2 linked regions of the Schizosaccharomyces pombe genome follow. The protein of the gene in region 1 interacts with the protein of each later gene in a pairwise test. Each region holds a gene or a part of one and is shown on either strand. Other genes may lie near its edges.

What was found.
Region 2: the proteins of rpn7 (region 1) and rpn9 interact in a two-hybrid assay, tested with the Schizosaccharomyces pombe proteins (one study listed by BioGRID).

What each region holds. Positions count from the first base shown.
Region 1 is NC_003423.3:429,893-434,549, reverse strand, and holds rpn7 (19S proteasome regulatory subunit Rpn7), read left to right. Parts: upstream 1-2,784; 5' UTR 2,785-2,805; coding exon 2,806-3,999; 3' UTR 4,000-4,157; downstream 4,158-4,657. Other genes in the region: alt1 (putative alanine aminotransferase), read right to left, coding at 239-493, 547-1,346, 1,538-1,955; mcp6 (horsetail movement protein Hrs1/Mcp6), read left to right, coding at 4,384-4,657. UniProt on the Schizosaccharomyces pombe protein: Component of the 19S cap proteasome complex which acts as a regulatory subunit of the 26S proteasome, involved in the ATP-dependent degradation of ubiquitinated proteins.
Region 2 is NC_003424.3:2,034,550-2,049,345, forward strand, and holds rpn9 (19S proteasome regulatory subunit Rpn9), read left to right. Parts: upstream 1-9,258; 5' UTR 9,259-9,292; coding exon 9,293-9,405; exon of another isoform or gene 9,406-9,459; coding exon 9,460-10,492; 3' UTR 10,493-10,610; downstream 10,611-14,796. Other genes in the region: WD repeat protein Cdt2, read right to left, coding at 1-1,101; mitotic cohesin complex non-SMC subunit Psc3, read left to right, coding at 1,854-2,118, 2,164-2,276, 2,315-2,410, 2,459-2,868, 2,919-4,518, 4,567-4,971; SPOM_SPAC607.02C (uncharacterized protein), read right to left, coding at 5,066-5,336, 5,383-5,751, 5,800-5,855; U3 snoRNP-associated protein Snu13, read right to left, coding at 6,387-6,746, 6,897-6,914; arg82 (inositol polyphosphate kinase), read left to right, coding at 7,941-8,747; SPOM_SPAC607.06C (metallopeptidase), read right to left, coding at 10,661-10,696, 10,735-12,486, 12,545-12,595; SPOM_SPAC607.07C (uncharacterized protein), read right to left, coding at 13,150-13,581; protein Mil1, read right to left, coding at 13,872-14,796. UniProt on the Schizosaccharomyces pombe protein: Acts as a regulatory subunit of the 26S proteasome which is involved in the ATP-dependent degradation of ubiquitinated proteins.

The sequences.
Region 1 (4,657 bases):
TTACAATAAAACAGCTCAAATATGTGTGAACAAGATGAAAAGAGAGATAGAATATTACTTAACAAGTTAATAATTCAAATATGGAATACTAAAATAAACATGGGTTGGGTCTCGTTTACTCAACATAAATGTACTTTTCGAGTGAAAAGAAATGTGAATAGTAGTAAGGGAATAGTTTCAAAAATCAATAAAGGTTGTCTCCTTTGAGGATACCAAAATCAAAAATATAACCAAAAAATTATTCATAGAGGTCCATTATTTCATTATGAGCTTTGACAAATCGTTCAATGTATTCAGTTCCTTTAGCCAAAAACGTGATTCGAATATGATAATCACCTTCTGGTTGCCCAAATCCACTTCCAGGAACAACACATATACCTGAACGCTTAAGCAATTCTATCGCATAGAATTCGTCAGGTTGAATTTTCTGAGCTTTGGCTGTAGTGATTAACTTTTCGGGAAGTGAGACGCTGGGATGCAAATACATGGCCCCCTTGAAAATATGAATTAGTAAAGAAATGAAAACATAATGCAAATTTTACTTACGTGGGGTTCTAAACATGAAACTCTCTTCATGCGCTTTGTTCCCTCGTAGAGCTGACGGCATTGTAAACGCAGTGCTTCATGAATCTCATCAACTTCTTTGATGAACAAATCATAACTGGGATCACCAGGTTTAGGAGGATTTACTAGCATGTCTACTAATAATTGACCAGCAACTGGTGGACAAATGTCAATGGTAGCTAGTTTGAGGATTTGATCCTTAGCGGGCTCTGGAATATTAACAACGTCCAAATATCCACCTCTTTGACCACATTCACCAAATTGACCTTTGCTAACAGAATTTACGGAAATAAGCGAAACTTGGTCCCAATGATTGTCGGGTTCCTTTTCTCTTAATTCACCAAGTTTTCTCCTAAAAGAATGAAACTTGTTTTGGTAAATATTGTTTTGATAGACTTCGTCGGCAAGCAATACTATGCCCTTTGCCTTAGCAAAGCGCAAAACTTTTTCCATGCTATTTTCAGAAATGCAAGCTCCAGTAGGATTACCGGGATTAATAACCACGCATAAACGAACGTTGATACCTTTTTTAGATGCTTCATCAAATGATTTTTTAAATTGGTCAAAATCAATGTCCCAATTATTTTCCTCGGAGAGGCTGTAAGATACCATAGATCCACTCATGAGATCAATTTGGGCACCGTACAAAGGATATTGAGGAGCGGGAACCATTACACCATCTGTTGGCCTAGCGATTATCAAAGTCATTATAAGCCGGGCAGCGTGTGAGGCACCACTAGTCAAATATATGTCAGATGGCTCGCAATCAAATCCATCTCTCGCTAAAATATAATTAGAAAATGTGTAAAGATAAAAAGAAAAAAGAATGAATGGCGGAGTCTAAAATCATTTTTTATCGAGCAAGACCCTAGCAGCTTTAATGGGTTGCAGTATTTTTGCTAAATTTCTTAATACAGTCTGCGAATTGTCTCTGTGTCCGACGATCTTCACTCTTTCTTCTTAAAATGCTTACCTCTAATGAAATCCGCAACATGTCGCCTTACAAGCGGAATACCTTGAGAAGCACTATAGGCACCCAAACTTCCAGATTCCTTTAAGAGCATTTTGGATCGTTGTACGACATCCGTAGGGAACAAATTTTGAAACCACTTTTCCTCAGCATGGTCTAACAAGGTAGGGTACTGGCAAAGAGATAAAACCTGTCGAACGAATGTAATAGGAGACTGTCCCATCTGCTGAGGATTACCGATGTTTGCATAGACGATCTCACTGAAAGGATATGAAGAAGGATTTTCAAGTAAATCATCTTGGATCTCGTCCGCAAGAATGGCTAAAGCTCCACGGACGGCGTAATTTGCCTTAAATACTTGTTGATTCAAAGAATTAAGGTCTGAGAACGCATTTTGACAAAATCCATCAAGGTCCGACATTCTTGGAGACTCACAGTTAATATCATTTGGATAATCTGTAAACATAAATATAAAGTAGATAATCGTTATTTGATATTATGTACTTCACTCTTTCTACTGTATTTTATTTGGAGATACTTATCAACCGCTCACTGTATTCACTTATATTACATATACTAATTTTTTCACTAACTTAGCATAATGAACAGAGAAAAAATAGCTCCTAAAAAATACTCAGTGAATGACAACGTTTCCGTTATTTTTATATTTTTATTTTCCATTAACCGGATTATACAGGCTTAAATATGATATTCTAATAAACCATTTTTGTTTGTTTTATATATATTAAGTAAGCAATATTCAATGCGAAAAATTATTTGAATTCCTTTAGTAAGCCCCAACCTATGCTACATGTCGTGTAAACCAAAAAATTAGAACGATGTAAAAACAGAGGTATAGAAGAGATGCTTGCTTATTTGCTTAACTTTTTTGTCTTATAGAATTTGGTTAATTAAATTAATTTAACGATTTACAAGTTTCGAGAAGACTGATGGAATGTTCAAGCACTTGACTTTTCAGAATGGCATATTTCACAAAAAAGAATTGAAAAGAATAAAATTTACGAGTTTTAAGATTCGTTTCTAATAAAATTTAATTAAAACATGTTACTAGAACATAAGGAACAGTGGAAGTTGAAAAGTAGAAAAAGAACTTTTTCTCTTTAGTTGTTTGAATTAAATTTATATTTGAAATTTAAATAAACTACAAAAAATTAACATTTTACTAACTTTTAGATGAGTGAAATGTACAATATGTAGTTTAGTTAGCTGTTGATATGTGTTCTCCCTCTGCAACACTCACACACCGCACCATGACAGAAAAGGCAAGAACCGTATCAGATTTGACCATTTCGCAAGCGATTTTCGAGCTTTCCTCGCCATTCCTTGAGAATAAGAGCCAAAAGGCTTTGGATACGCTTTTTTCTGCCATTCGTGATCATGATTTAGCTCCACTTTATAAATATCTTTCAGAGAACCCTAAAACATCGGCAAGTATTGATTTTGATAGTAATTTTTTAAATAGTATGATAAAGAAAAATGAAGAAAAGTTAGCAGAGTTTGACAAAGCGATCGAAGATGCCCAAGAACTTAATGGAGAACATGAAATTTTAGAAGCCATGAAAAACAAAGCTGATTATTATACGAATATATGCGATAGAGAACGTGGTGTACAGTTATGCGATGAAACTTTTGAACGAGCAACATTGACCGGAATGAAGATTGATGTTCTTTTTTCCAAAATCCGTTTGGCATACGTGTATGCTGATATGAGGGTCGTTGGTCAATTATTGGAAAAATTAAAGCCACTTATTGAAAAGGGAGGTGATTGGGAGAGGAAAAATCGATTAAAGGCCTACCAAGGCATATATTTGATGTCAATCCGTAATTTTTCTGGTGCCGCCGACCTTCTCTTGGATTGTATGTCAACTTTCTCTTCCACCGAACTACTTCCATATTACGACGTCGTTCGATATGCCGTGATTTCTGGTGCAATTTCTTTAGATCGTGTTGATGTCAAGACCAAAATCGTTGATTCACCTGAAGTGCTTGCCGTGCTACCTCAAAATGAATCAATGTCTAGTTTGGAAGCATGTATCAACAGCTTGTACTTATGTGACTATTCCGGATTTTTTCGAACCTTGGCCGATGTTGAAGTTAATCATCTTAAATGTGATCAATTTCTTGTCGCCCATTATAGATACTATGTGCGTGAAATGAGAAGACGTGCTTACGCCCAGTTACTTGAATCTTACCGTGCTCTCAGTATCGATTCCATGGCCGCTTCCTTTGGCGTATCTGTTGATTATATCGATCGCGATTTGGCGTCATTTATCCCAGACAACAAGTTGAACTGTGTAATTGATCGAGTCAACGGTGTTGTATTTACAAACCGTCCTGATGAAAAAAACCGTCAATACCAAGAGGTTGTTAAGCAGGGTGATGTTTTACTTAACAAACTCCAAAAATACCAAGCCACTGTTATGCGTGGTGCCTTTAAGGTATAATTTAACTCAGTGCCTACGTTTAATGAAATATGGTTCAATGCATGTATCGTTTATCTATATTGTCTGGTTTAAACATTTGAAAAGTAATAATATGAAACGGTATTAAGTTTTGGTGCCATGAACATTATTTGTAAACGAAATGTAGAAATGATTAAAGCATACGAATCTTTATTCAACTATTATTAGGGACTAAATAGATAGTTGTGCAATTTTTGGTGGTGTTTACGTATATCTCAAATGTTTCTTCACTCGTAAATACAATGTTGTTTGATGAGCCTGCGACGCGTTCCATTTACCAACAACATTTCGTATGTTAGTGACACTAATTCGTAGCGAAAAGATTTGAAACAATACAAGGTTAAGAGATTAACAGATTGATTTAATATGGAATATCAAGAAGAGGCTTCTCTCGCCTCGGCTGAAGATTCGACTTTCATAGCTTCATCGCCTGTTCAAAGTGTTAGCGAGATGAAGTCTATTAAGCAGAAGAGTTTTCAGTATTTTGATGATTATGAAAAGAATGTCTCAGATAAAACAATTCAATTTCAGAAGCTACAAATGACTGCTAAAGAAATAATTGATGCTTTTGAGCGCGATTCTACTCAACGTACGCTACAAATCGAAAGTTTGGAAAGTAAGATAGGAGAGCAGGAACGGG
Region 2 (14,796 bases), on another chromosome or scaffold:
TTCATAAATGATACTATCTCTGGAAGCAGCATAAATACGCTCACCGTCAGGAGAAGTACAAACATTAGTAACACCAAAATCGCGTTTTGAAGTAGTTAATTCGGGAGTAGTAGCAGCAGGTAAAGGTCGGACGGTATGTACAGTTCGTAAATCCCATAACTTTAAGGCCGAGTTTGCAGAGCAGGACGATATAACTTGCGAAGTAGATTGAGGGAGCCACGTAGCTGAGGTAATTGAGCAATCCCTTCCCGAATTTTCATGTGCTTTTCTTATCCTTAACACTGGTTTCTGAAAATGCTCACCGTCAATTGTTATCCCGTGTGTTCGCATATCCCAAAAGATAATGGAACCATCCCGAGAACAACTTACCAAATTATAAGGAGAATCATTGCAAAAATTAACCTGCTTTACTGAATGAGAGTGGTATCCATCGACACCTCGTCGTCCCAATCGAGTGATGCATTGTTGCGTTGACAAATCAAATACCTTTGATGTTTGATCGCCAGATGAAGTAGCTAATAATGAATCATCTTTAGAGAAATTAACACTAAATATAGCATTGTTGTGAGCAAGCCAGCCATGGATTCTTCGAGCAGACGGCTGATTTTCCTCATTCTGTCTATCGTAAAATCGAGAATCAAACAGCTCAAGAGCTCCAGTCTCAGTACATACGGCCAATAAAGACTCGTTATTAGCAAATCCAAGACAGAACGGGAGTTGGTTCAGCATCATTAAGCATTCCGAAGGTCGTGAGTAATATGTTTCGAGATTGAGTCTACCTCCCACATGACGAGAAGTTTTTGTGCTAAAAGGGTGCGACCGGGAACCTCCCAGTTGTCTGATTAAAAGTTCTTTACAAAGTTGAGCAGGTTTTTTTTGAATATGAACTGGCTTGTGTAACAGGGGTTTCTTTTCAAACACAATGCGTTTTCGAGGTGTTTCAATTTTTCCTCGGCTTTCTAGGAAGTCGTAAAGCTTATGTTTTTTGGAAGGTGCTGCGGGAGAAGAATCAGGAGTCGGAGGTAATGAGTTATTTGCACGTGAGGTAATATCTCGAAGCCCACCAACATCACTCAAAGCTTTTCCAATGTCCATATTCATGGTATAATCATGAATCTTAATTTAATCCGCTTTTGAGGTCGTGTGTTCCAGTTTAATTTAAGTAGTGGATGGTAGCGTGAGTATATTAGATTTTCGTGACGCGTGAACGCGACGCGTCCGTGATCCATCACATGCACCAAACGTTACCCAGAATATGTTAAAGTAACAAAACGCGTATTTCAAAGTCATGTTTAAGCATATTTGCAATTACAGATGGGTACAGCCTAAAATTCTTGAGGAATAAATAAAAAGGATAAAAGTTTTCTAATTACTTGTTAATTTTTCATAAAGGATGACTTTCGTATTTCTGCCTATGATATAATGAGCGCTCGAAAAGTTGTCAAATATCTCATTTATTAATAATAATCGAAAATATTACGCGTCAAAAGAATCTTTCACTCACAATTCTATACTTGTATAGTCAAATTACAATCTCAACTCGCGGAGTGAATATAAGTTAGCTGTTCACCTTGCAGGACCCAAAAGAAAATAGTATATATTTGTTTCAATCAAGGTAAAGAAAATTTTAATGTAATAACTTCGTTAAGTATAAATTTCCTTTCGTATCCTTGGATTTTCAAACACATTTATCCTGTCTAACACTATTGAACAAGACAAGTTCGTGCTTTTATCAACTACAGGTTGTGAACAACCTCCATTGTACAACACCAATAGTGCATTCATTACACTCTTTCCAATATTTCTAATTACACCTCTTAATTTATTTATAAATTATTTCTTTTTTTCTTCAAATGAGTGAGTCTGTTACTACTGGATCTGATGATGATGGAGGAGACAGAGAATCTTCCCCTGTAATGCTTTCTCAAAGTTTTGATCCCATGAGCAGTAGTTCAAATTCATCTTCTGAAGAAAATAGCGATGATGATTACGAGAAAACGATAAGCTCAAAAAAACGGCATCCACGGCCAAATTCTAAAGGAGTAAATGTAAAACGCTCTAGGAGGAACGCTATAGTTGAAGAGGATCCTCAAGAAGAAATTTTTAACAACTTATTTGGTAATGATAAAGTCCTTCTTTTTTTCAGCTACTAACACTGAAAAGCTTTTCTGCTTGACCAAAAAGTTGATACCATGGACATCGCGGTTTCGTGGTTTGCTGACTATGCAAAAGATAATCAATCTGCCCTTGCAAATCTTATTAACTTTATTTTAAAGGTAGAGTCATTCTTTTCTTTCTTTACTAAATATTTTAGTGCTGTGGTTGCAATCGTGCCATTAATGTGTTTGATGTTCAGGATCAAGATTCTGCTTCAGCTACTCTATCTCAAATTCAACTTTCTGTAGAGCGTGTAAGTGCTTTTGCGAAAATACTTTATTTGTATATTAACAACTTTAAGACTTCTACTCGTGATTATCCTTTAAATTCAAAAAATCTTAAGTTTAGGAATTTCAGAAAGAGATTGACCGGTCTTTTAAGCAACTTTGTGTCACAGTTGTCAATAAGAAATTACTTGTACAATAGCACTGTTTTTGAAGATATTATGTCTTGGGTCGTTGCCATGTCTTCTTCTACGATGAGACCTATTCGGCACACCGCCACTGTTTTCTGTTTGAATATTATGACTTTTTTATGTGAAAAATCTAAAGAACTATTGAACGAGCATGCAATTGCTACCAAACAGCTCGAGAAAGAAGAAAAGCGCTCTCGTGTAAATAGAAATCGCATCAACGAACTTAATAACAGTCTTGGTGAAATAGTCAAGCAACAAGATACATTGACTACATACTTAAATGACTACTTTGATAGGTAAAGATCCCTCAAACGCTTTAATTTATTTATACTAACCTTTATATTAGTGTCTTCGTCCATCGATATCGAGACGTGGAGCCTAAAATAAGGGTAGATTGCTTACAAGAGCTTGGGGTCTGGATTAATACTGTTCCAAGCATATTTTTTTCAGGAAGTTATTTAAGATACCTAGGATGGATGCTTTCAGACATAAACACTACCGTCAGATTAACTGTAGTTAAAGTTTTGCGCAAATTTTTTGAGACAGATTCATTTATTGGTGGATTAAGACATTTTTCTTCTAGATTTAAAGAAAGAATACTCGAGATGAGTTGTGTGGACGCCGATATTGGAGTTCGTGTAGCCAGCATTCGTTTGTGTAACGCTATGAGGACTTGCGGATTTTTAGAAAATTCTGAAATTTTAAAAGTGCTGAAGCTAATTTTAGATATCAATCCAAGGGTGCAACGTGAAGCCGTACTGTTTTTATGCAAAGTGGTTGACGAAAGTGTGAATGAAAAAATTGATTTATGGGGTGAAGAAGACTATATTCTAAAGGCCTTTTCTCAGACTTCACTTACTACATTTTCAGTTCATTGGATAAAATTTTCCCAAATGTGTAAACTTTTGGAGGAGGTTAGATTGTCTTACCAATCGAGCTTTGATTATGATACATTATTACGAATCTTCCAAAAAAATGGTAATTTCATTACTCCTATAACACAAGCTTTACTTAATGCATGTGAAATTGATTCAATCTATCAGTCATGGGAGGATATTAGCAACTTCGTACTTTTTGATAATTATACCTCGACTCTAAAAGATCCGATAGACAGTATACTTTCTTTCTGCAAGCTAAATGATTTTCAGGAATCTATTCTTTTACAGCTTCTCTCTGCTTCAATCCAAACTGTCTGTAATAACAATTTTATCACACCTAAAACGGTGCATAATAAGCAAGCGGCGGAAACGACCAACGATCAAAATAAAGATAAGGACTTACTTTATTTGAATCTTCTTCCTTACATTAATTCAATAACTGAGAGAAATTCTGCTTCACCAACACTTCTTCATGATTCTCTTCGTTTGTTATTCTCAATGGATTTGACAGAAATGACAGACCCTCAACTTTCCAGACATTTTGAACTTCTAATTAATAATTTAAAAAAATTTTTCCTAACCAATAATGATCTTCAAATTATTCAAGGTTGCACGATATTATTTTTACGGTTGGACTCTATTCCTGCTTTGAAAGAAGATTTGAAGCTTCTGGTTACTGACATTTGCGACCAGACGGTAACCGAATTTTTAAAGAATTTTGGATCTTTTAATATTCAAGATGCTGTAATAACAAAAGATGAATTTGTTATTTTTGAAGCTTGTTTAACAAGAATCGAGGGATGTACCTCTCTCAAAGATTTTTCTGACTATCCTGAGTTTGACATAATATATGAAAGGCTTGTTTCGCTTCTTTCGCGGGTTCCTAATAGCTATGAAGATACATTGAAGTTTTCTGCAATTAATACTTTACAGAGTCTATTGTTTTGGTTCTTTCTAAGGAAGGATAACCCTGCTGATGAGGAAAAAAAGAAGGATGATGAGACTAAAGTTTTTAATTGTTTGATTAATATTATGAATAATGACAGCTCTAAAATTTTGCAACTTCAGGTATACAAAATCAACTTATTATTTGATTTAAGAAACTAACTTGACCAGGCAGCCCGAACTTTTCTGGAAACAGTGATAATGAAAGAAGGTGTTAAAGCATCACATTACAACGATGACAATCGTGTATCTGAGGAGCATAACTTTTTAAAACCTCAATTTTTAGATGCTCTTTTAAAAATACTTGAGGGATGGTTATACACATATGCCAAAGTTGGTCAATTCCCCTTCAAGCGTTTGACTCAAGCAAGTTCTCCACATACACAAATTTCTTTGGACAAAAATCCACTTAATAGAAGGCTATTGGAACATGTATGTTGCGATTTGACTAGTAAATTATTAATAGTTGTTTCATTGTCAAATACGATAACACCAGAATTTTCACAACAGTTTTGTGAACTAAGAGGGCACTATGGACCGAAATTATCTGCTATTGTGGATGAGTTTTTGAATTAATTAAATTTAGATTTAATGCCTGCTGTATATTTAAAGTAATTAATTATTTTTAAGTCAGCATTAGAAATAAATTCTTTTTTCATTATTAAAAAGATTATTTCCGCTTGGTTTTCATTAATTCTCTATATTTCTCTATAAGTTCCAAACGCTGCTTTCCTAGAGCTTGGCGTCGTGCCATAGATTCTGTTTGACCCATATTATTAACTTTGGGAACATTTTCCAAGTACTTTGTCTCTTTAATTTTTAATTCCGGAAGTTCAGGAGGAGCTTGCACAGTTTCTCCAAAGGAAGGTTTTGTTTGTAAATTAGCCCACGGATCAGGCGAATTTTTTCGTTTTTTTCTAGACTCAATTTGGATAAATTGTCTAATATGTTAGTTTATACGAAATGAAATTGGTGATATACACATACCCAGTAGTATCCGCCTCCCATGTTTTATCTTCAAAATTTTCCTCAATTTCATTCCAGTCTCTTTCACGCTTCTCTTTTCTTTTCGCTATTTTTTTCTTTTCTTTTTTATCAGTAAATTCGTCTATTTTGCTCGGCCCAGACTTAAAAGATACTGGAATAGCCTTATTTACGCGCTGACTAAATTCACTAAGGCGTTCACCGGGTAATCTTTGAATTTTCCCATAATCTTTTTTTTTCTTATTTTTAAGGTTGCCTTTCTTTATTTCCTTCTTTTTAGATTCATGGTACTCTTTTTGCTGTAGCAATCGCTTGAATTGCTTTGGGAAGTTGTCATCTACACTTTCATCCTCCTTGGGAGCATGATCGAGTCTATTAACCAAATGTTAGTAAAAACATCTTGCTATAGAAATTTTTTACCCAATCTTTTTCCGTTCAGCCTCAAGAACGGACCTTTTCTTAGTCTTAGTAGGCATATTGCGCTTGGATAGTAAACACAAACGAGAAGCAAGTAATAAAGGAAAATAGCGAGCCTAGCTCGTATCGCAATTTAGATAAATTTGGATTTGTTTTAATAGATACTCATGGGATAACAGTAAAGTTTATTAATGAATACAAATATCTTTTTTTATTTTAGTGGACAAGCTGTAACGCTTTAGAGAGAAAAAATTTCAGAATCAAGTTGGAAGCAAGCTTAGTGAAGATACTTTTCGAATCATACACGAAAAATATATTAAAAAATATATATATCAAACACCAAATATACACTATCTTTATTAAAATCGTAATGCTCTTATATGTAAACACTCAACTATCTTTCTTGTTGAGTATTTTGCGAGCTAATTAATAAAAATTAAAATGACTACAAACAGAGTACTTGAAATTATATAGAAAGCGAAACAGTACAAAATTACAATAACAAAATAAAAAATTCGATAACAATCTGCTTCCATAAGAATCAAATTTTATTCTCGATTAAAAGAAAACTGTTCCCAAAATCCAAAAGTTTAGATGAGCAATTTCTCTATTGCCAATTTAATAGCTTGAATTTGAGGAAGTAAATCACTAGCCTCATTGGTAGTAATGCTGGCTGAAATCACCGGTCTACTTACACCACAAGCACGTCCCAAAGCAGCCTTGCTAGGAACAAAAACATAAGGCACATTCTTGTCCTCACAAAGCAATGGCAGATGCAATAAAATCTCTATGGGCTCGGTATCAGCCGCCATTACTATAAATTCACTAATACCACGGTTCAAGGTTTTGGTAGCCTCATTTGCACCTTTGCGAAGCTGCTTGTAATGAGAGGCCTGTTGTACCAAGTCGAGAATTTGTTGGGTTAAGCCAGAATCGGCTAAAGGAAAGGCCTAACAATGTTAGTATGCAATAAAACGAATATAAATTTCGGAAAAGTTCATTTTCCGTAATAAAATTGCCGACGAAACTAGCATTTGAAACTAGCATGCTTTCAGCTATTTCGTAGCCAAAGAAGAAGTCTTATACCATTATTAACATACCTTTGGGTTAACTGACATTTTTTCGGGTTCCTTGCTGTAAAAAGTAGTATCTGACCTACAATGGTGGTTGCTCGCCCTTGCTAAGAAATTTTCTTTAGTAAACTTCACTTTAGCTGTAGTCCAAAAGTACAAGTAACAACATCAACGTTAGTCGATCCTTCGATCAATGTAACTTGGAAAATTAATCCAAATTTGCTTAAATTTGGAATTCTAAGAAATTTATGCACATTAATAATCTTAATTGTTTCTTGGCATTACACTATGAATATGGAGGACTCAAAACTATAAATCAGATTGGTGAGTTTATTTCTATTGAGCAGGCATTCTTCAATTGGACATTGTTTACCATATTTAACAGAATATAATAACATTAAAAAAAGTTGGAACTGCATATCTGATTGAGAGCTGTATTGTTATATAGTCTATGGACTTAGCAAAAAAGAAGTTGCTAATAATCTACTATTTAACTTTTAAATTTTAGCAAAGTACATATAATTTGTCCTAAAAAAAAAAAAAAAAAAAAAAAAAAAAAAAAAGCCCTGGTACATACTATTGAAAGTGTGTAAATTGTAATTTAGCTAAAATATTTTCCCTTAGTGGTTTGGAATATAGGTTTTTAATAATATTATAATTTATAAAAACTTTGCAAAACACTTTCTAAATAATATCCAAAAAAGTTTATACTTTCTGTTAAATTCATACTTCGATCTCCAGGCTACAACTTTATCTACTGTAAAAAAAGCTGAATAAATTAACAGCGAGTACATACACATTTGGATATGTGTTTAGGAAATTCATTGTTTTATATTATTAGATAAAATTTTACACTTATTTATTCAGCTCATATAACCTGCATGTTCGTGCAAGCAGTGGAAGTGGTTGATATAGCTCTACACTATTTCAATTCATTCTACATTCCGCTTACCCAACAGCTGTCACATCGAAAATAACGCTTCAGCATATTGCTAAACGCGTATTGCAATTTTCAAGAAATATACTTTTGACGAAAAAACATGTACTAGCGGATTTTTTCTTTAACTCTTGATGAAACTAAAACTGTTTCCATTTCAAGCTGCTGGTCATGGCCAAGTACTAGTCAGTGAGGATGATAAAATTCTAATTAAGCCATGCATTAAAAGTGAAGTTGATTTTTATAAAACATGTAACGACAATATTACGCTCTACAACTGGATTCCTAAGAATTTCGGTGAGTGGATGCCTTCTAGTAGAGACATTGAGGGTATCAACCCGATCGCAGAAAGTGTTGCTTTTTCCTTAACTGGAAAAGCTATAATCTTAGAAAATATTCTGTATCAGATGGAAACTCCTTGTGTCATGGATATCAAATTAGGAAAACAGTTGTGGGCCGATGACGCTCCTCTTGAAAAACGAAAAAGATTAGATGCCGTTTCCAGAAGTACGACGAGTGGTAGTCTTGGATTTCGTATAACTGGTATATTGTCGTGGGACAGAACAAACAATACGTACATTAAACGATCAACAGCTTGGGGTAAAACCCTTACGGATTCAGATGTCGTAGAAGGCTTAAATGATTTTTTTGTCTCTTGCTCTCTTTCTCAAAAAGCAAGGTTGGTTGAAAGCTTCCTTAATTTATTGAAATTATTTGAAGTTGATCTTTCTGAGTCTTATATTGAATTAAAATCTTCTAGTATTCTTTTCGTTTATGATTACTCTTCCCTAAATCCAACGTATCATTGTGAAAGCAATGTAGTTCTCAAGCTGATAGATTTGGCACATTCTAGATGGACGAAAAACACTATAGACCATAACACATTAATTGGGGTTAAAAACTTAATTCACTGTTTTGCGATGCTCCTGAAGAATGAATAATTGAATACTGACATGATAAATTCCTTTAAAAGAAAAGTAATTTTTTTAATCATTGCTGGTTAAAGCTAATTAATTTATCTGTATAGTATTCCACTATAACTATTATAAAAATGATACCTTATTTATTTTTTTGAGTGATCGTGAAGTATTGATTTGTTATAGAAAAGAAAATAATTTTTATTCTTCGTTTATTTTATGAAAATTTTCAGAAAGGTTATCTACCCTTTTTATTTTTGGTAAGATAAAGATCTTATTCCACAAACGAACTACTTAAAAAACAGTCAGTTTTCTCTTAATAAAATAGTTCGTTTACTTATAGAAGTTTGCTTTATACCTTGCGTTGTTTTCATAGAGGTTACTAAAGCATGCTTTACTTATATGCTTTCAAATACGCTTTAACTTTTTTTTTAATAATAATTTTAACTAACATAATGAAAATAAAATAAATATGCTTATATTTCTCCATTTACCTAAAGTTTCAAACAGTAGTAATATGACTTGAGCACTTGCCATCAGCAAACAACTACTCCACGAAGGATTTCATCATGGATACCGAAATGTCTGTCAATATGTCTGATTTTTTACACGATCAAGCTACAAGAGCTCCAGAAAGCCTTCAGCAATCCTATATTTTAATGGAAGACCTTTATGAAAGGAAGTATGTTGTAAAAGTGCTTTAGAAGAAAATGAACTTTACATTAACTGACGCCAGATTATGGAAACAACTTACAGATGCTTTGATTGTTTTCTTTGATACCCCAGAAACAGTACCTTTAAGGCTTCCTTTGTATACGAACTTTGTCAACTCATTTCGACCTAATATCAATCAACTCAAAGCAGTGTACATGGGCTTAAAGGCTTTTGAGTCATGTTCTAACGACGAAGCCCTTCGTAATTTAAACCAAATTGTTAACGAATTGGATGAAGAGAAATATAAAGATGCCTATGTATATTCCATTGTTGCCATTGCTCGCATCAAGCTGATTAGTGGTAAGTTGGATGAAGCCCGGGAACTACTTGTCAAAGCCTCAAAAATTATCGACCACATTGATTACGTAGAAAGTCTTATTCATTCTTCATATTATAGCGTCAGTGCAGACTACTACAAGGCAAAGGCTGATTATGCTCAATACTATCGTCATTGTCTATTGTATTTATCTTGCATCGACCTCGATAAATGCTCTCATACCGAGTTAGTTGAAAGAGCGGTGGATCTAAGTGTTGCCGCAATACTCGGTGATATTTATAATTTTGGTGAATTATTATTACATCCTGTTTTCGAGTTGCTAGTAGGTACACAGCACGAGTGGTTACATGATTTAGTCATCGCCATGAATGTCGGAGATTTACCTTTGTTTGAACGCTTAATGGGGCAAATTAACAAAATGCCTTTACTGCAAAGTTCGGTTGCTTTACTAGGTCAAAAAATTCGTTTAATGGCCCTCATTGAGTTGGTCTTCCAATTACCTCCAAATCAGCGTACTTTAACATTTGATACAATTGCTCGTGCAACCCGTATTCCTTCTAATGAAGTTGAGTTACTCATTATGCGTGCTTTAAGCGTAGGGCTTATAACAGGTGTTATAGATGAGGTTACCCAAATTGTCACCATTTCTTCCGTCCAATCTAGAATTTTAAATCACTCGCAAATTGCAAGCATGGAATCTCGTCTACGAGAATGGAACCAAAATATTAAGAACCTTTCTAATGTGGTTGAAATTTCTGGAAAAGGTGTTTTCGTTTGATGACTACAAAACTCATTGTTTAAAAGACAAGACATGCTATAAAGTAAATAGAACTATTTTTCTATACATTATTATACATTTCAGTGTAGTAATTTTATTAGTTGTAAACATGGTACGTAATTTCATTCTCCTTAAGCAATTGTATTCAATTAGTATTCAGAATTCAAGCTACTTAATAAAAAACCCAATTGAATCCATGAATGGCTATTAATGTTAGATCAATAATATAAAAAAAAACTTACCCCTAATGTGCCATAAAACCCGACTAATTGAAAACCTTTTGGGACTAAATAGCTTTTCAACCCACCCCCGTTAGCATTTCCATAAAATGGACTTGTTTTACCATTTTCTAAAACAATGGATATCCCATCCACCCAGGCTCCACAACGTATTTGAAAGCCTACAATTTGGGAGCCTTGTATTTCAAAATCGTGAGGGCTTCCACCACGGTTACCAAGAAGAACTGATTCATCACCAAAAAATACTTCAATTCCATCCAAAGCTAAACCACAATGAACACGAATTTTAGTAGGCTTAAACTTTTCAGGTGCTATTAAAATATTTGATAACTCTTTCCCATTACAACCTCGCAAACCATATCTTTCAGATCGATAAACAGTTCCAAAAGACGATTCAACCTTCGCATTTTTTATAATTTCAGGTACATTGTTTAAATCAATACATTTGAAATTTCTGGATAGAACGCGAACACGATAATCTTGATTGGAGCTTGCATTTGAAAGAGAGCGTATTTCAGCATCAGTTAAAGAAGCTTCTCCGACTGGAGGATTAAACTCCTTCCAGCCCTTGGTCTGTCCATTGTATTCAATTTCAATTAAAAAGATTCCAGTCGAATTGACAAATGTGATAGTTTCTCCTTTAACAAAGTAGTTCGTTTCAATGTCCGACGGATATGTAGGGTCTGAAGGTAGTTTAAAGCACGGATGATAAAAAAACCTTAACATGTCAAGATGGTGCCAAGAACATTCATCTTTTGCAAGCACTGGGGCAAGACCTTTACTTCCAGTTCTAACACATTCAAATTCTCTTGTCGTAAAACTGCGGTTAAATATTGGATATGATCGCAACATGATTCCATCTGGTTGATGAGGACAACCAAGTGTATGTCCTAACTCATGAAGCATAGCGCCTATCCCTATATTCGCACATTCCCAAATCGTAGAACTTTCATTTGCATCATTTGCCAAGTAAGAAGGGATTCTACGGGCATCACTAAAGACAGGTACAACATACTCAAGTGCACTAGGAAAAGAATGTAACGAATGGGAACCAAACACTCCAAGTTTGTGCATGTCTGTACCTCCACCTAAAGCTACATGTCCACGAATTTTTTGAGTAGAAGGATCATATCGTGTATCCAAGAACATGCACATATAATGCCAAGGCTCAGGAAGATGTAGTTTGTCGACAGCATCTCCAGCTATATGAAACAATTGATCTGGAGGAACCGATCGAATCTCTTCTGCTGTTTTATCACTTCGCAGAATATTTATAGTGGCTGTTAACCTTTCGGTGCCCCAAGGGGACAAACAAGACATTGTGTCGGGTTGCACACTTTCCTCAATTCTAAAAGAACGTCTTCCATAACCATTTCTATACATACATTCAGCGGTGAAAGCTTGCCATAAGTAAGCAGCGCATCTGAGTTTACGGATGCCCTCATCAATATCATTTTTGGCACCGTGAGGTGCATCAAATGAAAGGTCTGAGTCTTTTCCAACTATAAAGGCGATACAATAGAAAGGATTATCAACAAGTAATTGGTAATAAACCTGCAATTCTAGTTTACCTCCATCGTCCGTAGTAAATAGTATGGTATTGTCTCCGGGAACGACGTGAATGATAGCTTTAAAATATAAGTCTGTAACTACCCATGTTTGTTCTGGAAATGAATTTTCGTGATGCTTCACATTGATTGTTTGTGGGCAATAACTTGCACGAGGTCCAACTCTACCATGTATAATAACAAATCTCTAAAATTAGGCATCTATATTAGTACAATTATGAAAATAACATTGAAAACACTCGTACATTGTATACAGTTTCGTTTTGGGATATATTGTCTAAAATGATCTGACTCATGCTGGCTCTTGACAAACGCGTGTGCAGTACATTCTATATTTATTTCGAATTGACTTAGACTAATGTCACAAAACATATAAATTATTTACATATTTATTCAAATTTATAAATTTAATATACACGACATCATATAAAATACAAAACATAATATAATCGCGTTTTTTGAACAATAAAATTACAGCATCGGTTGATTGAGTCTTTGGCAGTGGGTATACTGAGAGACCAATAATTATTTAAAATTCTAGCTGAATAATAAACTTTTGTATGCTTTACGGAGACAGTAGACGTCCAAATTAACTATTGAAGACTTATATAAGTACAATGAATTAATGGATTATTTATTTTAATGATTGTAAATAAATATTTAGAAAAAGAGGAGTGCAAAACTTATTAAACGATGATTGTGTATGTTATGGCTCAAGATTTACAGAAAAATCTAGCAGAGTAAAAGCGATACTTTCAGGATCAAAGCACGTCCTTAGTATCAAATATGTACGCATGACGATAGATACACCGGCCTAAAAAAGAGGACTAGGTTTAAGAACTTAATCGCTTTATTCTTGTACATATGGAGAGTTTTTGTCATTGAATGGAGATGCGGATACTTGACTTTGAGTCTCTGCATTTTCACCACTTTGTCGTGAGAAAGATGAAGACAGTCTGGGAGGAGGGGCTTCGGTATTTACAAAAGGTACTGTCTCTGATGTGTGATCTATAAATGGAGAAGCAGAAGGAATAGTATTAAGCTCTGCTTCTTCAACCCTTGTATCCCACATGTCGTCTGCATCCAAGGCTTCAAACTTAGCGGAATTGGAAAAAGGGTTCTTCAGAAAGTTCCAGGTTTGAGAAGACTTTACAGAACTAACATCAGCTGTCATCATATTTCTTCTCCGAATAGAATTAATTAGTCGTAAGACACCATATGCAACAAATAAGAAAGCAATCGAGCATATAATTGACAATGCTACAATGCCAAACGTCCCCATGATGAACCAATTTATCTAAAAGAATTTTTCAAACAGTTTTCATAAAATTTTCTTTCAACGTTTGAAAATTAGAAAGAAGAAACTTGGGGTACAATACAACAAAATTAAGTACGCAAGATGGTGCAAAATCCAAAAGAGAGTAATGAGGTGCTTTAAAGATCAAATTTCCCTTGAATGTCCTTATAACAATTTAACGCAAATTTGGGAGTCCGTTATTATCATTAAAACAAAATATAATAAAACATGTTTTCGTGTAATTCAATGATGTTAAACATTTTGAATTTTTTTCCTCACTTTTTATTTTCTCGTACCTCATTCACCTCATCTTCTTTCTTCTGTATAGCTAACTCAGTATCGCTAGAGGCGTCAAAAAGTACTTCTTGCTCAATTTCCTCTTCTTGCTCTTTTTGAGAATAATAGGTTCTTTGCTTCGATTCGTATTTTTCTTCCTGTACTGCAAGCGATTGAATCTCAGCATCAGAAATGTTATCATACCCAAGACGTTCTTTCAAAATTTTGGCAACCAACCATCTATACTGCAAATGACCTTCAACAAGATCCCCCACATCGACATTTTCTAAAGTATTTGAATCAAGAGAAACTGGTCCAAGACCAGCAGCCGTAGATTGCGCACTGTTGACACGATACACTAATTGTAGTACATAATCAGAAGCAGAATAGACATTTACGAATCTCCCAGCGACAACGCATCTCATTTTAAGCCATAACTTAGCGTCAGTCGGCATAGGGGCGCCCATTACTATCACATTTTCAACTAGATTCGTCTCACCACGGTCAGCCAAATGTAGTAAACACTCAAGAATTGTACGTGCACCAAGCGAAAACCCAATTAAAGTCACTGGACGCATACCCTGAGCTCTAACACAAAGCGCATTGGCTAAAGCTTCACCGGCTTTGATGGATAAATTAAATGCAATTCTCCAGGAATTGCCTAAAATATTTCCGACTTTCAAAAGTGATAAAGGCCATAAAGCAGCAGCAAGAGGAGCTAATATCGTTCTACTAATAACCTCTCCCTTTACCCAGCCAAGTCCAGCAGAAAATAAGATTCTGGAAAGAGATTTTCCAAGATCAACTAAAGCTTCAACTTCAAATTTCAAAGCATATATGTCTCCCCAATAATAACTTTTATCTCCAACAGTTAAAGATTTCCAAGCAGCGTCTACTTCGTTATAATCCCCAAGCCATCCTGAG